Linked DNA regions of Drosophila melanogaster. The protein of the gene in region 2 interacts with the protein of the main gene of each other region in a pairwise test. Each region holds a gene or a part of one and is shown on either strand. Other genes may lie near its edges.

Evidence for each region.
Region 1: the proteins of Arp6 (region 2) and CG8366 interact in a two-hybrid assay, tested with the Drosophila melanogaster proteins (one large-scale study listed by BioGRID).
Region 3: the proteins of Arp6 (region 2) and sle interact in a two-hybrid assay, tested with the Drosophila melanogaster proteins (one large-scale study listed by BioGRID).
Region 4: the proteins of Arp6 (region 2) and drongo interact in a two-hybrid assay, tested with the Drosophila melanogaster proteins (one large-scale study listed by BioGRID).

The regions. Positions count from the first base shown.
Region 1 is NT_033778.4:15,952,909-15,957,360, reverse strand, and holds CG8366 (uncharacterized protein), read right to left. Parts: upstream 2,322-4,452; 5' UTR 2,244-2,321; coding exon 2,107-2,243; intron 2,039-2,106; coding exon 1,845-2,038; intron 1,788-1,844; coding exon 751-1,787; 3' UTR 725-750; downstream 1-724. Other genes in the region: Strn-Mlck (Stretchin-Mlck), read left to right, coding at 554-722, 2,483-2,528, 2,588-3,459, 3,524-3,935, 4,141-4,452.
Region 2 is NC_004354.4:15,734,955-15,738,920, reverse strand, and holds Arp6 (Actin-related protein 6), read left to right. Parts: upstream 1-1,800; 5' UTR 1,801-1,887; coding exon 1,888-3,084; 3' UTR 3,085-3,147; downstream 3,148-3,966. Other genes in the region: CG11679 (uncharacterized protein), read left to right, coding at 95-1,357; MagR (magnetic receptor), read right to left, coding at 3,429-3,532, 3,600-3,677, 3,747-3,822.
Region 3 is NT_033777.3:10,331,249-10,338,980, forward strand, and holds sle (slender lobes), read left to right. Parts: upstream 1-1,866; 5' UTR 1,867-2,028; coding exon 2,029-2,065; intron 2,066-2,148; exon of another isoform or gene 2,149-2,241; coding exon of another isoform or gene 2,242-2,248; coding exon 2,249-2,335; intron 2,336-2,402; coding exon 2,403-5,911; intron 5,912-5,973; coding exon 5,974-6,195; intron 6,196-6,259; coding exon 6,260-6,697; 3' UTR 6,698-7,017; downstream 7,018-7,732. Other genes in the region: CG12818 (uncharacterized protein), read left to right, coding at 371-393, 450-549, 608-1,351; CG12592 (uncharacterized protein), read left to right, coding at 7,155-7,167, 7,228-7,732.
Region 4 is NT_033779.5:847,803-853,005, forward strand, and holds the start of drongo (drongo), read right to left. Parts: upstream 3,270-5,203; 5' UTR 2,267-3,269; coding exon 2,097-2,266; intron 1-2,096. Other genes in the region: CG4291 (uncharacterized protein), read right to left, coding at 3,641-3,857, 3,916-4,640, 4,697-4,769, 4,826-4,827; kraken, read left to right, coding at 5,134-5,203.

The DNA.
Region 1 (4,452 bases), on a different chromosome or scaffold from region 2:
GGTGCTGCCCCAACTGGCTCGGATTACGGACAAGTGCGTCATACTGAAATGGTGCAACGGCGTTATACAAGACCACTGGCCACTCAGACAGATCTTACAAATCCGATTCGCTGTCAAACGCTAATTCAAGTTCAACCCATATCAAATAACAGGCTTGTTCGCACAACAAACAATTACGCGAGCCAAAAAGGAAAAAAATACACAAAAAAATATTATTAGCCACTGTCGCGCACGAAGTCGACCAAGGAAGCGAGCGAGCAGGCAGGCAGGCAGGCAGGAGGAGTAGGAGGTCAGGGTGGGCAACGTATACCCATTACCAGTTTTCCTATTCGACAGTCTCGAAACTGAATTTTGTGCTTATATGGCCATAAGCTTAACACAATAATAACAACGTCGGTCGAGTCAGCGTCAACGGCATCGACATTTGTATAAAGACAGTCGTGATTCATGATCTGCGACAGCCGCACAACAAGTCCTTATAGTCCAAGCACATCGCGACGTGACCTTGAGCAATTCGACCCACTGATCGCCGAACATTTTCTTTCGCCCGCAGCCGGAGTACTACAAGGACGCGCCACACTTCCGGCGAATTGGAGACGGACCCGAGTACAGGCTGGAGATACCCAGCGCCAAATTGGATTTCACCGGCACCTATTCCGTGATAGCCAGCAATTGCCATGGCGAGGCCAAGGCTGTAATATCGCTACAAATATTCGCCAAAGGTAAGCAGCACAGTGAATGTGTATGTATTTATTGACCTGGGCACTGGGGGTAGATATTCAATAGGCGGGGAAAGACAACGTCCCGCCAGAAGTCTTCAGCCATGCTCAGCAAACTGCTAACGAATTCCGGATCCGCTTGTACCCAAACGTAGTGTAGTGCTCCGTTGCTCTCGAACGTGGGACTTAGCACGCAGTAGAGCGCCTTTTTAACATTCGCCGCAAACATCTGGATTTGTATTTGGGCCATGTACTTGGGTGCAATAGATTCGCGTGCCTCGAGGTACTTCTCGAAGTCCTCGTCAGTCTTTGGTGATTTGATTTCGACAATGTGATCGTCCGTGATGCCATCAGGGGCGGCGCACAGGAAGGGGAAGTTCTCGTGCAGGATCAGACCGCATTCTAAGTAGTTCTTGTTCTCCAGCTTCTCAGTCTGTTTCAATATGAAGCGCTTGTGCTCCTTCTGCTGCACCCGATCCTCGTTATTCTTGTCACGTCCTCTGCAAAACATCATATTGAAGATTTGATCGTCATCATCAGAGGTTTTGCGGCTTATGATCATGTGCATCATGGAGCAACGGATGCGCATATACTGTACCTCCACCCACAATCGGGATTTGTATTTGCTTCGCGTTGCCTCGTACAGACTTTCGATAATACCCGTATGTGCCTGTGCCTCCATGTGTTGCACATAGCTGGACGGATCGACGACATTGTACTCATTTGCTCGGAGCAGCACATGGTGTACGAACATGGGCTCGAACTCATCGGTGGTCTCCACACATTGCCGGTAGAGCGCCGAGTCCCTGCCACAGTCGGCCAGTTCATTCAGAATGGTCACTAGGAAAGCCTCTCCCTCGCTGGCGCTAAGTTCTTTCGAGTTTAGTTCGCTTTCCATTCGCACATCATCCTTGGGAATTATATCACATATTCGAGTAGCAGTTGTGGGCTCCGGTTGCACCAGATTTTCCAACTCGTGGCCCCAAAACTCCACCACAGCCGAGGGATTTCGATCTGTGCTCTTGTTTAGCAGCCAGAAGGTGAAGGCCACGATGTGGGCACAAGTACCTGTAATGTACTAAAGATTAGGAACTAGACATTAGTGGCAAATGGAGTCATTCTCACATGCTGCAGTGCACAGGCTGCATTGACCGTCCATGATCATCTGAGCACTTTCGACGATCTTAAGCGATACATTGGCGTGAGTTACCGTGTTGGCGAAGTCGGTGGCAGAAAACACGAGTCCCTTGAGTTCGCACACGTCGCCATGTCTGCGCACCTGGACGTAATCCGTGAGGAGATCACATCTATTCGTTGGTCTGTTGGCAAAAATTCAATTTTTAATAGAATACACAGTAGGTATATGTGCGAACGGGATGGCACTCACATTTGTTTTGATTTCTCAGATGCGCCGGATAGACAAAAATTGTACACCATTCCGCTGTTCAAAGCGGGTATATTGTGTATGTCTGCTTTGCGGAAGCCGGGTTCCAGGTCCATGGGCACAATTATCATGCCCCTCATTTTGTTTTAACCAAAATTTGAGTACAAGAAGTAGAAAATTAGATGGTGTGCTAAAAATAAACATTGGGCCACAGCTGCTATCGATTATCGATATATTCGCACTCTTGCAAGAATCTGACAAAAATAGCCAAGACACTAATCACCACTGCTTGGCAAGCAGTTTAATGGGCGCCAATTTCGAAATGCAATATTTTTTTACTAAGTCAAAGTGCTAATGCATAATATCTTTTTTTCAATAGATATACTCAACAAAAGCCGCATGGATAAAGTGCACACGAGACATGGGTAAGTTCAAGCTTATTATCAAGATATGTTGTCATTAACAAGCTTTAACAATTAATCAGCAACATCGAGACCCTTCCCCGATTCGTTCGCAACTTGCGAAACCTCCGCTGTTGCGATGGGGATGCGATATCGCTGGAATGTCACGTTGAGGCCGATCCGGAGCCGTTCATCATCTGGGAAAAGGATGGGCATGTTATGCCCAGCGATCGGGACTACGTGATGTCTTTCGATGGAACCAAGGCAACGCTGAGCATACCGCGCGTATATCCAGAGGATGAGGGCGAGTACACGTGCGTGGCCAAGAACTCGGTGGGTCGCAGTCTCTCTTCCGCCTGCATTATAGTGGATGTGCCCGAGGAGAAGGAGAATATGCTCAGCCGCCAGCTAGCGCGTCCCAGTGGCCTGCTCTCCGCCCACTCCACGCCCCGTTCTACGCCGAGATCCACGCCCGCCAGAAGTTTCTCTCCCCTGCGCCTATCGTACCGCACCAGCAGCATCGATCTGTCCGGCGTGGCGGAACGCAGGCGTAGTGATGCCCGGAATGCCATCACGGCGCCAAAGTTTCTCGCCATTCCCTACAATCGCGTCGTCGAGGAGGGCGACAGTGTGCGCTTCCAGTGCGCCATCTCCGGACATCCCACACCGTGGGCGACATGGGACAAGGATGGCCTGATTGTGACACCCACGCCGCGCATTGCCGTCAAGGAAATCGATGACCTTCGCATCATAGAGATCGATGAGGTGACCTTCGACGATGCCGGCCTGTATCGCGTCACGCTGGAGAACGATTTCGGTCGTATTGAGGCCACCGCTCGCTTGGACGTCATCCGCAGCTCCCGCTACTCCAAGTCGCCTTCGGTGCGCAGCGTGCGTGCCTCCTCCTCCCGCCGTAATGCCCACTTGTACAGGCGCATCATGGGTCCATCCACAGGTGGGTGCTGCTCCTTGCCCAATTTACAGCTTAACTATTTCAATTGATACCATGCCACCCACAGCAATTGGCGGACGCATGGCTCTGGCAAGTGGCTATCGGGGTTCGTCGGTGCCCTCGGTGAGATTCTATCACAACGACGTGGAGCTCGAGGCCTCGGAACGAGTTCACATCCTGCTGCAGGACTCGATGGCCCTGCTCATAGTGGACAATGTGACGCGCGAGGATGAAGGCCAGTACACCTGCATCATAAGCGGCGACCACGATCCCCTCATCACTTCCACCACCGTCACCTTCCACGACTCGAATACGGAGATTCGCAGGCGTCGTGCTGTCATCACGGAACGACTGCCCGAGATTACTAAATCGCTGGAGGGCGAGGTGATCGATCTGTGCTGCTCCATCGAATGCGATGAACCCTACAGCTACGTTTGGTTGCGAAATGGCGAGATTCTGCCAGACAGCGATGAGTTCAAGTGAGTATAAATCTTTAGTTCATTGAAATATATTGAGTTGTAATAACTTGAATACATAATTAGTTATAAAAACATTGTTAAATTGCTCAGTTTTTTATAAGCACCCAATTTCCAGCGATTAGCTTGGATTGAATAATAAAAGCGAATGGTTTCCCTTTGTTTCGAACTATCCACATACTTATGGCACTTTCATTGCTCACTGCAGTTACATTGATCACGGCAATGGACGCCTCTGCCTGCGAATCAACGACGCCTTCGACATTGACTCCGGCATCTACAGCTGTCAGGTGTTTACCAGCGACATCAACGACTCCACCTCCGACTCCACCTTCGACTCCCATTCGATCTGCAGCTTAATCAACAGCGGATGCAGCGATTGCAGCAGCAGCGGTGAGCTGTGCGTCCTGGAGCGTGATCTTCGTGGCCAGGATGAAGAGTGTGTTCAGCTGCTGAAGACGCCACTTCCGGTGGTCTGCGCATCCGGCGATGAAGCTCTCTTCTACGCCCGTGTTTTCCC
Region 2 (3,966 bases):
ATATTATATAGCCACCAGATACGATTCGTTACCAAACCGATCTCAACTCCCAGAAATGGGCCACTAATTGCTGCTGGAGCATAAATCAAAAGCCATGAACTTTGCACGCCTGAGATTCGGGCAGATGGTCCTTGGAGGACTTCGAATTCCGCGCCAGCAGACGCAGACGCAGTGGATGATGGACCGCCGCCGATGGTTGGCCAGTGAAGCCACCTCATCGGCTGCGGCGCCAGCTCAAGCAGCTTCTGTACCTAGAACTCAAACGCAACCGCGGGTAAAGCCATTGCCGCTAGCCGAGGAGCGCTTGGAGTCGATACTATCGCCCATTCGCACCAGGATCATTCGAAAGAAGCGCTTGGCCATCGATGAACTGTCCGCTTTGGGGTTTCTCAACACCCGTGGTTATACGACCGCCGAGGAGTACAATCTGGAGGATCTGCAGATAGCCCTCCGCGAACAGAACCTGTACGAGACGAAGCGTTTCTTCTCCACAGACAATCTGGACGTGGAGCAGAATGTGCTCTTTGTGGCGGCCAAATATCCGACGGGTCAGCAGCCGCGGGAGATATTCTTCTTCCGCGAGGGCTCGGTGGTCTTTTGGAACTGCAGCGACATCGAGACGAACAATGTGCTAAGTTTCCTGCGCGCCTTCGAAAGGGAATCGTATGTGAGTGCCCTGGTTCACGGGGAGAGCGAGGTGATGCCCTACACCTACATTCCATCGACGGCGGTGGATGTGGAGGGCGATCTGGTGGCGGAGAGCAGCGACTTCAATGTCACGTCACGGGCATTCTTCCAGAATGGCAAGTTCTTTGTTACCGCCGATACGGATAGTTTCCTGTATAAGTACACCTTCTCCAATGCGATGGCACAGTCAATAAAGCTGGGCATGTGGGAGGCGACACTGGACCGCTACATAGACTCCATAGAGCATCTCACCGAGGATCTAAAGCGTGGTCGCCGATTAAGAATCTCGCGGGCGGCCATGCTGCGAAAAACCGGTGAATTATTTGCCCTGCGTCATGTGATCAACCTGTCGTCGGATCTGCTGGATGCACCCGATTTCTACTGGGACCGCGAGGAACTGGAGGCACTCTACCTGCAGGTGTGCTCCTACTTCAGCATCTCACGGCGCACCAAGGTGATGAACGAGAAGATCAACCACTGCGTGGAACTGGCCGAGCTGGTGTCCCACAATCTGAACGATGCCCATCATATCCGGCTCGAGTGGATGATCATAATCCTGATCATGGTAGAGGTGGGCTTCGAAGTGCTGCACTTCGTCAGCGATCACAGTGATTCGCATAAGCTAGAGGTCCTGCCACTGGCTGCTCCTGCCGCCTCGATTCCCAATTAGCAAGTAGGCTTGGTCGATAGTTTTTTGTACTATATTTGTATTTTGACGAAATATAGAATTGTTAGCGTTCCAAAAGTTTGTTTGATCTGTGCTCTATTTTTTTTTTGTCCTTTTTAATTTGTTGTTGCCCGTTAAAAACACCAAACATTACGATTTTAAAATTCTCACTAGATCCAATTTAAAAAAATGGCTAGATTAATCGACAGCACTAAAGCAGACGAAGTGTCATTTCTTTTCCTCTGTCGAAAAATGCTATAGATCTACATCGAGAATATTATAATTTTATTGTATGTGTATTTGTATTTTGCTGAAATATAGAATTATTAGCATTCCAAAAAGTTGTTTCTTGTGTTTTCATTTTGTTTTTGTTTTCCTTATTTAATTTGATGTAGACCGTTAAAACACCAAAAATAACGATTTTAAAAATCTCGATAGATTGAACAAATTAATCGACAGCACTAGAACAGAAGAAGTGTTGTTTGTTGTCCTCTTCCGAAAAATGGTATAGATCTACGTTGAGGACGAAAAGGATGGCCAACGCTGTGGTGGTGTTGGACAACGGAGCGCATACGGCGAAAGTGGGCCTGGCCAATCAGGATGAGCCCCATGTGGTGCCCAACTGCATCATGAAAGCAAAGAGCGAGCGGCGACGCGCTTTTGTGGGAAATCAGATAGATGAATGCCGGGACACATCGGCGCTCTATTACATTCTGGCGTTCCAGCGCGGCTACCTGCTCAACTGGCACACACAGAAAACGGTGTGGGATTACATATTCAGCAAGGACGGCATTGGTTGTTCGCTGGAGAACCGCAATATTGTCATCACTGAGCCGCAGATGAACTTCCAGAGCATCCAGGAGGCAACGCTGGAGATTCTGTTTGAGGAGTACAAGGTTGATGGGGTGTACAAGACCACTGCTGCCGATCTGGCTGCCTTTAACTATGTGGCTGACAGCGAGGAGCGGACTACAATGGAATCGCTTAACTGCATCATCATCGATGTAGGCTACAGTTTCACCCACGTTGTTCCTTTTGTGCTGGGACGGCGCGTTCTCCAAGGCATACGACGCATCGACATGGGCGGGAAGGCGCTGACCAACCAGCTAAAGGAGCTAATCTCTTATCGCCACCTAAACGTCATGGACGAGAGTCATGTAGTTAACCAGATCAAGGAAGATGTCTGCTTTGTGGCGGAGGACTTCAAGCAGGCGATGCAGGTGCATTATTCGGAGGAGAAGCGACGCGAAGTCACAGTTGATTATGTCCTTCCAGACTTCACCACCGTCAAACGGGGCTATGTTCGTGTTCCCGGAAAGCCGCGCGAGGATGAGGAGCAACAGCAAATGGTGTCGCTGTGCAATGAACGTTTCACCGTGCCCGAGCTGCTCTTCAATCCCTCGGACATTGGTGTGCAACAGGTGGGCATTCCGGAAGCGGTGGCCGATTGTCTGAAGGCTTGCCCCTGGGAAGCGCACCGCGAACTCCTGCTCAACATCCTTATTGTGGGCGGCAGTGCCCAGTTTCCGGGATTTCTGCCGCGCCTAAAGCGCGATTTACGTGCCCTGGTGCCCGACGATCTTGAAGTGTCACTCATCTGTCCCGAGGATCCGGTGCGGTACGCGTGGTACGGCGGCAAGGAGGTTGCGACCAGCCCCAACTTTGAAGAGTTTGTTTACACGCAAGACGACTACGAGGAGTACGGTTTCCAGGGTATCAATCAGCGGTAACATGCACGTAGTCGAAGTATTTTTTCAATAATAAACTTGATTTGCACATGGGTTTTCTAGAACATTCCTTGTCTATATATTGAACTAGGGCTAAAGAGGACAAACTGCCAGCCTGCGGCAAGGAAGCGGGTGCGTCACTTACCTAGCGCTACAACTAAAATTTAACTATAGAACACAACTTAATATTTAGAATTCGTTTGCGAAGTAAAATTTACAAAGGATGCGGTGCTTTTGCCAACAACGTAATGAGATACAAGGTCGGGCCGCGTACTGCATTTAACTTAGTTAATTTAGGTCTGTCTGCGAGGCGGGTGCCGGCGGATCTCCTCCGGATCTCCATCGGTTTACATGCTGAACGATTCGCCGCAGCCGCATGTGCCCTTAATGTTCGGATTGTTAAACACGAACTCGCTGGACAGCTTCGATTCCACAAAGTCCATCTCGGTACCTGCAAGCGAATTATACTCTGTATTAGCTGGCTTGTCCAATGCTATGCTAAGCTGGTATGAACTTACCCAGCAGCGACAACTGCGCTTTCTTGTCGATGAAGACCTTGACGCCATCCTGGACCACCTCCTCATCCAACTTGTCTGCTGGCAAAAATCGACACAGAACGCAGCATTAGATCTCCACCGAACAACATTCTGTCCAGAGTGGCTTACCTTTTTGGCTGGCATAGTCCAGCGTGTAGGACAGACCATTGCATCCTCGCTGCCGTACGCCCACCTTTAGGCCAACCTGTGGCAGAAACAACATCGAATTTCTGTCATTAACTGTGTGGCTAATTTATAGGCAGCCTTGTTTATTGACCAAAGACAAAGAACTCGGTATTCTAATAAGTCTGTCTCAATTCAAAGAATTTAATCACTTAAAAACTAAATG
Region 3 (7,732 bases), on a different chromosome or scaffold from region 2:
TTTTTTTCGCAATTCAATTCGGAAAATAATTGCTGCGAAACAGAGCTCTGTGCTTCTTCTTCTTCTTCGTTTTGCCCCTTCTTCTTCTACCTTCTGACAGATGTGTTTGCCATTCGATTGCTAGCAATCGCCTGTGAATGCCAAAAATTAATCGAGTGCCCAGGGGGCGCGCGAGTGTAAGTGGGTGTGGCCACGTCAAGTCAGCAAAGTAAACACATTTAAAAAATAAATAAAATAGTCCACTTTTCAAGCTAGAGAGCAACAAATTCGGCCTACTGCGCTTAGGGCATTCGATAATTCAGAGCCATTCGATAGACAGAGATGCCTATCGAGTAATCGATTACAGGAATGTCAACAAAGTGGAAATAAAATGAATATTTTACCAAAAAAACGGTAAGTTTTATACTGATTCTAAAGATACCTCTCATCAATTCACGTGTATTTCTTAGCTGGCATGTGCGTACCAAGGAGAACATTGCCCGCGTGCGCCGGGATCAAGCGGCTGCCGCAGCAGAAGAAAAAGTCCGGCAGGAGAAATTGGAATTTGCTGTGGGTATTGCCCAAATATCGTCAATTTAACATAGTAATGTGTACTTTTATCAAATAGGAAAGCGAGGCACGAATCAACTTCCTGCGCCGCCAATCGGGCTTGCCGGAGAAGGCCTCCAAGGAATCTCGAGAGGAGTCGCAATGCAGTACTGAAACAACCAAAGGGGTGGATCTCTTTGCCGACTACAAGGCGAGAGTGAAGACCACTAACAAAGACTTGGAAAAGGAGCAAAAGGAGGAGCAGGAGAAGTATGAGAAGCAGATCGGCTACCTCACCTACTTGGGCCAGGACACCAATGAAGCTTTGAAAGTGCGCAGCTGGTACGAGTTAGCCCCCAAAAGACCAGAAGTTGGGGATCCCACAGCTACTGAAACTCATCATAAGCAAAAGCTAGCCCACGATCCTCTGACCCTAATTAATGCTTTGTTGCCGCCAGAAAAAAAGGATCCCAAAAAGGCCACAAAAAGAATTCGCGAAAGGACACCCGCGCCTTCTCAGGAACCTTCAATACCCCACAAGGACAAGAAATCCAAGAAAGATAAGAAGAAGCACAAGAGCAAAAATGGTTCAAGGGAGACCCTTTTGGCCGAGGAACGCATAAAACGAGAAAAGCTCGAGACGCTAAGAAGGGAGCGCATGCGACGGGAAACAGCGGAACGCCAGCGTTCCGAGGCTCTGTTCGCACCCAAGGAGCTGCCGGTGGCTGCCAGTGCCGAATCCACGCCGGCTTCGACGCCTAAGGTTGTCCAAAAGTACAACAGTCAGTTTAATCCGGAGTTAGCAAAGCAAAATATGCTCTAGCCATTAATTATGTTTTCAACTTAATGTTAACAGCCTGATTATGAATATAATCACTAAGCAAATAAATAGAAATTACACTTTATTATTGAATTGTCTAAAAAAATACTCTTTGTTTAAATATAAAAATGATTATCGTCAAATATTTGTACTTTTATAAATACATACATATGTATAAACACATCGCTTTAATATCCAGTTATTCAACCGTTACAAGAAGTCTTGGCGGTTTGGTCATGGTTTAAATTTAGATTTCGCGATAATTCCGCTTAAATGATATCGGCTACTTTATCGGTGCCGAAACAGGCCAATGCTGCACAGCGTCTAAATCGGACGAACTATTAAGTGATTTTGCACTTAAAATAAGAAGATAGAAACCTAATTTCGAATAAAATTTAATTTAAGATAATTCATCAGTTGAAGGTGATATTAGGCTATCGACACATTGAATTTAGCCCCGAAACTATACTAGTTTGAATTCTAACGGCCGCCACACAAATGCTCAACAGCCGGCTGCAGTGTTAGAGAACGTCGCAGTTTGCGGCACATGTGAAAATCACTTTTTGGCTCGGCGTCTTGGCGTCTTCGTTTCTATTTCTTTGTTATAATTTGCATGCGGGTTCGAAACTCTCTTGATTTCAATTAATTGTTGTGTGCGAAAAACAAAAGAGCCGGGCCAAATGGATGATAATACGGAGAACACAGATGGAAAGCGCGGTGAGTGAATCTAAGCGTGCTGTGCTGAAAAAGCAACGGGACAAGTAAACCGGCGCTCCAAAGTCAGCCATTAACGGGGGGCTCCTATCTCAAGCAGGTCGCCTTTGCATTCGATCGAATAAAATTTATTCTTACACATTATTCATTTTTTCGTTTATCCGTTTAATCCAATAAATATGGTAGTGACCCGGGCTAGAACTCGTCGCTTGTCCCTTCTGGAAACGGACAGTCGTCCGAGCACTCCGCAGTTGGATACGGTTGCGGAACTCGGTAAGTTGTGGCCCAACTCGGATCCCGGTTGTTTCAAGTCTAAGAATATTATTTCTCGCTTCAAAAGGTACCGCTTCGCCACGTGCCACACGTCGCACACGTCTGAACTCGTCCACTTTAGATGTGAGGACTCCAACACGAACCAGGCGCGCATCCTTGGCACGCGGTGAAACTCCCGAGCCGACGACGCCCTCTTCCGTGAAAAGGACAGCTCGCACGCCAGCTAAAAACACCAGATCTGTGCGCCAACAGCTTACACTAACAGAGGAACCTGAGGAAAATGAGGTCAAGCAGGAAAAGCCCAGCCCCAGTCCAAGCCCTGTGCCCAAAGAGGGCAAGGGAAAGGCACAGCGGAAGCCCAGTGTCAGTCCGAGTCCAGGGCGAACACTCACACCCAATCAGCAGAGTGATGAGAAACGAGTGACGCGTTCAATGTCTCAGACTCCACCAATGCCCACTCGTTCGTCCAGTAATACGCCTCGTGATCTTAACGATTCACCCAAAGTTGAGCAAAAAGCTAAACCCAATATTAAAACCACTCCCAAAGTGGCAGTCAGGCTCGAGAAACTTTCAATGGACAAATTCTCTGGCAAGAAGATGGAAAAGGCGAAGCCATTGATTGTACCGGATGAACTCAAGGATAATGGAGTTGTTGAGGAGCAAAATAAATCTATCACTGAAGCCCATTCACAGGCACCAGAAACACACGAATCAGCCCAACCTGACAAGGATGCTGGCAAACAATCATTCCTGAAGTCATTTACTACACTTTCGAAAATTCAAGGTTCAAGTAAAGCTCTTCACCCTGATGAGAGCGCAGATACAATTACAAAAATAACTCCAACCTCGACATCCAAGAAAATTGAAGAAAACATGGATGATGTGTTTGAAACACTACGCGTCGAGTCCCCCAAAGTTGAAAGAAAAATCGAGACTCTGCAGAAAGTCCATACTGTTGGCACTCCTGAAATTAAAGAAAAAGACGAGCCCGTTGGGGTAGACAATGAAATTAAAACGAAAACCGAAACTCCCCAGAAGATTGAACCCCCTATAATTGAAAGCAAAGTAGAAACTCAGCAACTGATTGATCATCCTCAAATAGAAAAGAAAAGAGATACTCCACAAAACGTTTCTACTGTTGACTTAATGGACACAAGCCCAGAAAAAGATGAGTCCATGGAGGACCAAGAGTTTTTGGATGCAGAAGATTCGATTGTTCAGTTAGAGCCACAAACCGATGAGCCAGTAGAGAAACCAAAAGAACTGGAGTTTGTAGACCTCGACGACGATGAGCCGGTATTTCCGTCGGAAGCTCCAAAATATGTCGAAGACAGTAAGGAAGTACACCCAGATGATTCAATGGATGATGACAAGCAAAACAAAATCGATGTTACCGAGGTTATACATCTGCCCAGCATAAGAGCTCGTGCTGTGCGTTCTCCTGCTGTGGAGCAAAAAAAATCGGTGGACTTCAACAACGACACTGATGACTTAGAGGTAGAAAAGAAACGGTTTCCCAAGACTCCAGGACGTGAGAAGGTGCCAGTTTGTCGCATTCTAACCCCCAAGCCGGAGACGCCCTTAAAACTGGCTCTGCAAAAGGGTCGTAATAGTTCCACACCAATATTAAAAGATCAGGAACGTGGCCTGTCCAACAGCACGGAGGAATTGCATCCAGCACCTCCTCAAATTGATGCTATCAAGCCATTCGATGAGCTGGAATCAAAGAATGCTAAGGATGAGATGGTGGAACAATCACCCATGTCAAAGCAAAAGGCTGAGAATAAAATCCTGGCTCGTCTAGAAAGCTTTGAGGAAGATGTTGAAGACCACGGGAATGAAGAAGAAAACGAGGAGGAGCACGAAGAAGACAAATCCATTTCCGAATTTGTGGACCTAGAAGCTGAAGATGCTGGGAAAGATTACATGTCTGGAGATTCGATGGACAGTTCGCTTCGCCGGGAAATGGAGGAGAATGAAATTCCAATCGATGGGGAGTCCGTTGGCAGTAAAGATACTGAGGAGTCTACCCCAGAAGAATCTGATGGCGACGATTCGTTTATTGTATCGGACAACGAAGACGAGGAAGATTTAGGACAGCTTTGCTACTCCTCTGGCGAGGATGAAATTGAAGACGCTGAAGAATCTGAACAAGCTGAGAGGTCTAGCGTGAAACGTCGCCGCATTATTATTGCGAGCCCCAGTGATGAAGAACATGATGGAAAAGTTCAGAGCAATGACGACTCAAGTGAGAACAAAACAGAGAAGCCCAAAAACCAAAGTAACTGCTCATCCAATGCCAGTAAATTGAGCGAAGCGGCCCAACTGTTAAACGTCAGTGAGGAAAAATCTTCCATCTCGGAAACCGAGCTGGAAAGATCTCGCCAAGTCGCTCTCAACGAACTGAACAAATCGGAGCGGTTTAACAAGACAGAAACGCAACTCGATATCAGCGTCATGGAGGTAGACTCCTCGGATCACGACGAGGAGGAGAAGACAGAGAAGGTTGGAGCCAAGAACAACAGAAGCCTGTACGAAATCGTGGATTCTGATGACGGGGAAGAGCAAGATCAAGACCAAAGTGATGCAGATAAACCAGCTGAAAGCGAAAACCATTCCGAAATTAAAAAATCTACATCTTTCATGGACCAAATGTCTGGAGCCAAAGGCAACAAAAGCGTATACGAAATAATGGATTCTTATGAAACTGAAGACCCTAAGGAGGCTGGTAAAAACGAGGAGTCTGATAAGGACAAACCGGCCGAAAACGGGAAGTCTGATAAAGACAAACAAGCCGAAACCGAGATGTCTGATGAAGATAAACCATCTGAAATCAAAAGCCCTTCCACAATCAAAAAATCCATAATTTCAACTGCGGATGAAGAAGCTCTGCTCGCCGAATTGGCCTCTAGTGATCTAAGCCATTTGGAAAAAATGTTTAACCCTCTACAGAAATCCCGCCGCCAGTCCTTACATGTCCCCAGTCCCGAGCTGGCAGCCAAGAATCCCAAACTGAGACGCCGTAGTGAACGGGTTGAAGTTGGCAATGACTTCTGCCCCTCGCAGTCCTTTGTTGACATGGTGGCCGAGAAAAAGAGGCAGAAAAACAAGCGCAAGCGCCTGTCGAAAAGCCTATCAGGCGCACCAGAGGATCTTGAGGAAATGGAGATTAAGCACGAGCGCAAGCGCCTTAAGAGCTCACATGGTGCTTCCACGGATTCAATGGAGGAGGACAACGAAAACGAAACAATGACTGTCGCCGAGGAACATCACAGCGACGGGGAAGTCTCGAATGGTGAAGTTCCTATTGAAGAAAAGCCCACTACTTCATCTGAGAAACCATCTGCGTCGGAATTACCTGAAGAAGAAGAAACTGTCGCCGTTGAGGAGCTTCTCATGGAGAAGCCGAAAACTTGCGATTCACCGCGATCCGAGGAAAGACCGACAGAAATTGTGACTTCAAAACCGAAGGGTATGGCGCCGGTCAAGGTGGAGAAGACTGCCGAATATTACTTGGCATACTGTCACAACCTCCTGGAAGCTGCCAACGAGGCTAAGTTAAAGGAAAAGAAAGAGGTCAGTTTCTTAAATAAAAAATCTCCTTTACGATTCACACTAAATTCGCTTATATTTTATAGCATCTTGCCAGCGGAGCAAAGCAAAAGAAGCCAAAGCGAATTGCTGCGCAAGCGCCATCCAAGCTCCTGGGCACCATCGGCTCAGAATCGGAAACCAACACAGCGAAATCGTCCAAGCAGCCACCGGCGCTGAAGAAGGATGTAAAGCGCCTACAGGCAGCGCGCCAGGCTGTGAGTCATGCTGTTAATCTTCTGGCGCCACCAAAAGCCACCGAAGCAGAGGTAAGCGTTAGTTAGTCGCCTACAAATAATAAGAGTATAACCAAAAGTCCTTGCTCCTCCGCAGCCACGCACGCTCTCGCGCAAATTGTCGCCACAGCCGCCAGTGGTGGACAAGAAATCAGCCAAACAGAAGAAGGGGAAGAAGAAGCAAAAGCCCCAGGAGGCATCACCGCTAAAGAGTTCCGATGAGGAGAACCACGGCCATCGTATTCGAACAAATGCTGGCTACGTGACGGTGGTCGATGAGCCGCCCACTAAAGTTCCCAAAATCGAGCTGATTAAGACAAGTTCGGGCATGGTTCGAGTTGAGCCGTGCACACCCAAACAGAAGTATTTCCGCGAGCTGCCGCCCACACCGAAAATGCATGGGTTCCGCGAGGAGCCAGGACCCTCCGGGATGTCAAGGAAGCGGGCCAAGCACGCAGCACCAAAGGTCGAACACAATTCCGCCAAACAGGCGGCGCTGCGCTTCAAGGAGCAGATCTTTGCTCGCAGATCTTAGGATACATTACATTTAGAGAAAAATTAGTGGAAATGTTAAGTGTACACAATGCATACTTCAGTTTTTGTTTCTTTTCATTAGCATTTCCCCGATTGAATTTGATTCTATTATTTGTTCTATTGGTTATTTGTTACGCAAGCCCTTGCTCTTTGCCATATATTATTATTTTGTTCAATTGCACATCACTTAACCACACTTAACGCTAGCAAGTTGGTTGTTGATCCAATCAAGATATGAAATCAATTAAGAAATTTTCGAACTTGTCCCCTTTTTTTTTGAGCATCTGAGAAACAGAAAATAAAGCCTACCCATACAAATACAAAATGAAGGAGGAAACTTTTTATTACGGGTCCGAACATTCGGGGACAATTCTCTGGAAAAGTAGGCTGGCGGTTGCCTGTCCGTCATGTTGCACAAAACTTTTCATATTTTTTCACATATGGCTCACCATTTCGCAATGCGAACAATTTGTAAGTAAAATGCTATTCTATTCTCAAGATTTAGTATCCTATTTCGATTTTTGCTTTTAGTCAATGCAAAAATTGGCGATGCAGCCTACATCCAGGATGAACTGTCTTCGTCGCTATCCTCTTCTGTGGCCAGCAAATTCAAAGAATTTTCGAAGCGCAAACGCATTTCGGACAGTTTCTCGGATCTTTCAGAAGAACTTGAGAGAATAGGTTTGCGACAGATGAGGAAACGCATTAAGTTGGAGAAATCGTTCGAAAGAACTCCCAAAAAGAAGGTCCAGACCAAGAAGCATTTACCACCGGTTCGGAAGAAGGATAGCGTGAAACGTCGCCGCATTATTATAGCGAGCCCCAGTGATGAAGAACATGATGGAAAAGTTCAGACCAATGACGACTCAAGTGAGAACAAAACAGAGAAGCCCAAAAACCAAAGTAACTGCTCATCCAATGCCAGTAAATTGAGCGAAGCGGCCCAACTGTTAAACGTCAGTGAGGAAAAATCTTCCATCTCGGAAACCGAGCTGGAAAGATCTCGCCAAGTCGCTCTCAACGAACTGAACAAATC
Region 4 (5,203 bases), on a different chromosome or scaffold from region 2:
ACAAGTTTCTTGACTTTTATGAGCCAGCACAAGCTTTGAACCCTGCAAAAGCCAAAGAGTAAAATAAAACAAAAACAAAAAAAAAACAAAGCAACCGAAATGCGGTGTGGCAGCAGATGGCGGCGACTGCTGCTTGATTGAGGTGCAACAATTTGTCTGCAATTGGAGGCGCAACAGCAGCAGCAACTTCGGCCCAAAAATACAACCGAGTGTGGCTGGCAAAAGCCGTCGGACGGGTTTTCCTCCCCGCGCCACCGCGGACATTCCCATTCTGAAACCCACTACCATTGCCAGTTCCATTCTCATTCCTGAACCGCTTCCTCCATTAAGCGCTCCAAGTGACCGGCCGGTCTGCAGCGGATTCCAATATCCAAAGGCGGGCCGAACATGCACAGCCATTTCTTCGTGAGTCGGAGGAGTTGGTTTCATTTGGTATTCCCTGCACTCGCTCCCTTGTCGCAGTCGACGTTCCAGTCTCATTTTCAGCCAGGAAGTTCGTTGTCGCCTGCTGTCGCCCCTGCCACGCCCCCTTCCTCGGCCGAGTCCCCCATTTGCTGCAGTACCTTTCCACACCCCTTTTTGGCTACACCGGCAGAAACGTGGCACGTCGTTAGACTAGTAACTGAAAAACCGCAGAAGTATCCGACTAACAGGACCAATTGTTTGTTACAATTAACCATTAACCCTTTCTCGCAGTGCAATCGCTTGGTGTCCCCGGCATTTATGTGGCTTTTCATTTACATGCCAACATTTGTTTCCCTTGGCAGTTGGCAACAAGGTTTGAGGACTAAGGATTGAGGATTGAGCACCGCACACCGAAGACTGAGGAATGGGCAATGAGTCATCGAAACAAGAGTTGGGGACTGCAGAGTGCAGCAGGGCGAACGCATTGCAGTTGGCTACTTTTCAACCTGGTTCCGATGATAGAGATAACTCAGCGGAGAAACCCGCATGCTGTCCAATTGAGAGGCCACAATCTGGGGCACACGAATCGTGGGAGACTGGGCTTCTGGACCTGGGCCAAGCGGAAGTTTAAGAGCAATCATGTAATGTGCTTGATCCGGAAATGCGTAAATCAAATGAAATGCAGTGTCGGCGGAGTGGTAATACATATATGACCCCAATTTGGCCATAGTGCTCACAAATCAAAGCCAATTTGCCAAATTACTTAGAGGGGCAAAAATAAAAAATAAACTGAGGGGCGCCAAGGACACCCACAACTCAACCGCCAGGTGGGCGGCTCTCGAAAACGTCTCCCCACGGAAAAACACGAATAGAAAGCGACGCCGGCGAAGACAAAACAATTTCGTTCGCCGCGATGTCGCGCAATTGAAAGTTTTGTCTTCGATTTGCATTTGCATTCAAAAAGGAAAGGAAGCCAAATTGTGCGAAATTGTTCGAAATTGTTGGGGAATTGCTTTCGCTTTCACACACAATACGAAATAATAATGGGGGGCGGGATCGGACATTGCATCGATCGATCGCAAATTATCGGTCACTCCACTCGGGCACAGATCCCAAATGGACGTCAGGCGAGTTCAAATTGGCTGGGTTCAAGTCAAGATAACACGGGAGACCAAGAAAGGTCCACGGATCGACGTTGATAGCTCTCAATTTGCATTTCTATTTTTGGAAACACTCAAGGCAATATTTTATATGACTCCTAAACGCAGTGGGGGTAGCCCATTTGGCAGTTATCAGAATATGTATATAGGTAGCCAGCTTTTTGATAAAAAACATGTGTGAATTCAACCAAAAGCCATTCAAGAAAGCCATAACCATAAATGTCGTATATCTGGATTCTTCTTGTGGAAGATTTTAAGAGATTTGTCAGTTCATAACCCACCATCCTTATTCTACAAATCTCAAGCTAGATCAATCTGTGCATCGGAAATTGTTTGAAATATTTTCCAGAGGTATCTTGAATACCTGGTAAACTCAAAGAGACAACCAAAGAAATAACTAAAATATGAATAGCCAAGTTACAGTTACATTCTCATAACAAAGGTCACCTAGCAGGCGACTTATGCCTAATTCCTGGATCTACCCTACATTATCCCAGACTAGAAAACAACAACAAGAAGGCAAATACTTACAGGACTCCGGAGCAGCGGGTGCAGACAAAGGATCCGATGGTCATGTTCACGTAGGTTGGTCCTTTTTGGCCGCAGTCGAAGCACTGCCGATTGCTCCCCGTCCCGCTGGCCACTAGTTCCCGCAGGGCGAGCAGGTACTTGTCGTCCTGTTTCTTGCGCACCACCGCCATTGTCGCCGTCTCTGTCGCTCCCTTGGCCGCCGCCCTTTGTACCGCTTCCGGTACTACTGACGTCGACGTTGTCGTTGTTGTTGCTCCTGCTGCTGCGATGAGCGGCCTGACGGAGGGTCCGCTACCTGCGCGCTCCTCCTCGGATTCCTCCGCTTCCGCTTCGTGGCTCTGAGCCCGATCCTCGTCGGATCCAGCTAGCTGCTCGGTGTCCGAGGGCAGCCGCTCCTCGGGGGGCGGGAGTGGGTGGTGGTGGGTGGACCGCTCGGCCGCGTAGGGCGCAAAGGGGGCGACGGCGGTGCGGTAGGAGGAGGCGGCGTGGGGCGCGGAGCTGTTGTAAGCGTACACGAACTGAATCTTGCCTGATTTTTTGAATTCTTTCGGGAATTGGTATCGTTTACTTTCTGCTCCAAATTGACGTAAATTTCCGCTGTTATCGTTTTTTGCCTATCGTAATGGCTGGCTATCAGGATCGTTTAGGGAATCAAAAATTTTTATCGGGAATGCGAAACTGACGTAATTCCCCTTCCCCTCTTCTAAGCTTTCCTTTCCTTTTCTTTACGCAATTTTTGGCTTGACCTTTCCTCTCCTTCGACGCACACTCACACACTCACTTTGACACTCACACTGACAGGTGTGTGTGTGCGGTGCGATTTATCGAAAACCACTTTTCCGATTGCCCGTGTTATTGTTTACTTTTCACTTCTTCGACTCGCAGAATTTCGCTTCAATTCAATCTATTTACACCGAGTGCCGCTGCAATTGCCACACAGATTTCAGATTTCAATTGAAATTTCGACGCTGCGAATGCACTCGCCACTTTTGCTGCTTCCCCTTCTCCTTGTTTGTTTGCAGTGCGGATTCGAAGACGAGTGGAAAACGAACAGCGAAACGAAACGGAACGAAACCAAACAGCACAGCGCACTCGAAACAAAATAGCGCGACTCGACTCAACACAATTCCGACGCAAATTCCGACCGCTCGCCTACAACAACAGCAGCAGAGTGACCGTTGGCGGACGGGAGAAACATACCTCGTGTTGCCGCTGGAAATGCACTAAAATTGGACGGAGCTCTAAGACCTAAATATGCCGCAACTAAAGCACAGACACACACCGATTGAACCTAATTCGATAACTGTTATCGAAATTTAAAACTTTTTAAAAAACATATTACTATTTAAAATGTTGGGAAATATTTATTGAATGCAAGTCGACTAAAGATAATAATAATTCTACAATAGCTATGTTTAATCTAATATTAGTTAAACGCATCTCACTTTTTAATTGGTATAAGCAAACACTTAAAAACCTAAACATTTCCTATGCCTAAACCTAACTAGTAGGTGAAATATGCACATAAGCACATGGAGTACTTCTTAATCCTCGGCGCGCTGGCGGCTGTTTCCCTTCCTGATGAATTTCCGCTTGAACGTGGCGGGCGCAGTGGCGGCTATCTCCTCATCCAGACCGCCAATCGTCTTTTCCTTGAACTTCTTGACTGGAGGTTCTGGTTCACTCGAGGCGGAAACCACGGGCGCAGCACTGTAGTAATCCGTTTTGGGTAGCTGCCAGTCGATGGGCTGCTCAGGTGCTCTACAAAAATCCATAAATTTATCAGTAAATGCATTTGAACCTAGTAGGAAGGCCCTACTTCACTTCCACAGTTTGCCACTGTCCAATCTCTTTGGTGGCCGCCTCTTCCTCCGTTTTGAATGTCTGACGCCTCTCCTCCTTCTGCTTCTTTTCCTTGGGATTGTCCGTCCTGCGGAAGGCTTTCATCTTCTCTCGGTTCACCCTCGCCACTTCCTCGTCGACATTGGCGCGGAATTTCAGCGATTCCTCGGCCTGGGAGATCTGCTGCTGGTCGATGGCCAGCTGGTTGATGCGCTCGTACTCCTCGTAGGACAGATAGCCCTCTTTCGGCGGCTTCCACACGGATTCATTGGTCTTCACGTTCCAATAGTAGGTGTGTCCCTCGTCCGACTTGCCCTCCACCCAGAGGGATGCCTCGGGCACGGCTGCGTCGCTTGTTACCTTGCCGGGAGCCACCCGCCTCTGGTCTTCTTCTTCGTCGGACAATCCTTCCAGGCGCATGGGGTCCACTTGGCGTGATCTTCCGGCGAAGGAGTGAGCTCCGCCTGAGGCGGCAGCAGTGGCGGTGGCCCTCATTACCGTGTTAATGGACCTGGCGGTCATGTCACCGCGCGAATGGACATCCTGTGCGTACGACTTCATGGCCGCCTCCTCCATCTTGCGGATCTCCGCGTCCATTTTCTGGCGCTCCCGCTCCGATTTCTCGCTGTTGCGACTGATGTCCGTGATCCGCTTGGCCACATTCATCTTGTGCCGCTTGCCACTCTCGTGGAAGGCGACGCTCTGCGGGATTAGGGGTCATTAGAGTGCCGAAAAGCGAGTTTATTCTATGGACTCACCGCCTTGTTGTCGCTCAGCCAGCATTTGCAGAAGTCGCAGAACTTGCGCTCGTTTGATTTCCAGTACTCCGTCCTGTTGGAATCGAGAGTTAGCTATGGCAAAGCCGGAGGATAATAACGCAGACTTACATGATGATTTCTCAGCTTAATTGTTTCGAATACAAGTAATATTAAATTTTGTTTGCAATCGCAAATGAAAACAATGTGCGGGAGTTGCCACCCAGTCGCGAATGGAGCTGCACAATAGCTCCGTATCTGACTTTCTAGCCATTCCACCGCCAAACCGACATATCTGTCAATAGCTATTGACAATCGAATTCCGTTGATCGGCAAAACTTTGCGACTTTAGTTAGTCGCTTTTTGAGATTCCCCGAGGCAGGAGCTCGCCCGATCCGCGTCCAGCATTACGGAGCACCATTTGCGAGCAGCAATTAGCCATGGGCCAGACACGCGTGGCAGCAACAACAGCGGCGCAATCTCCCGCGGCGGAACTTTCGCCAGAGACAA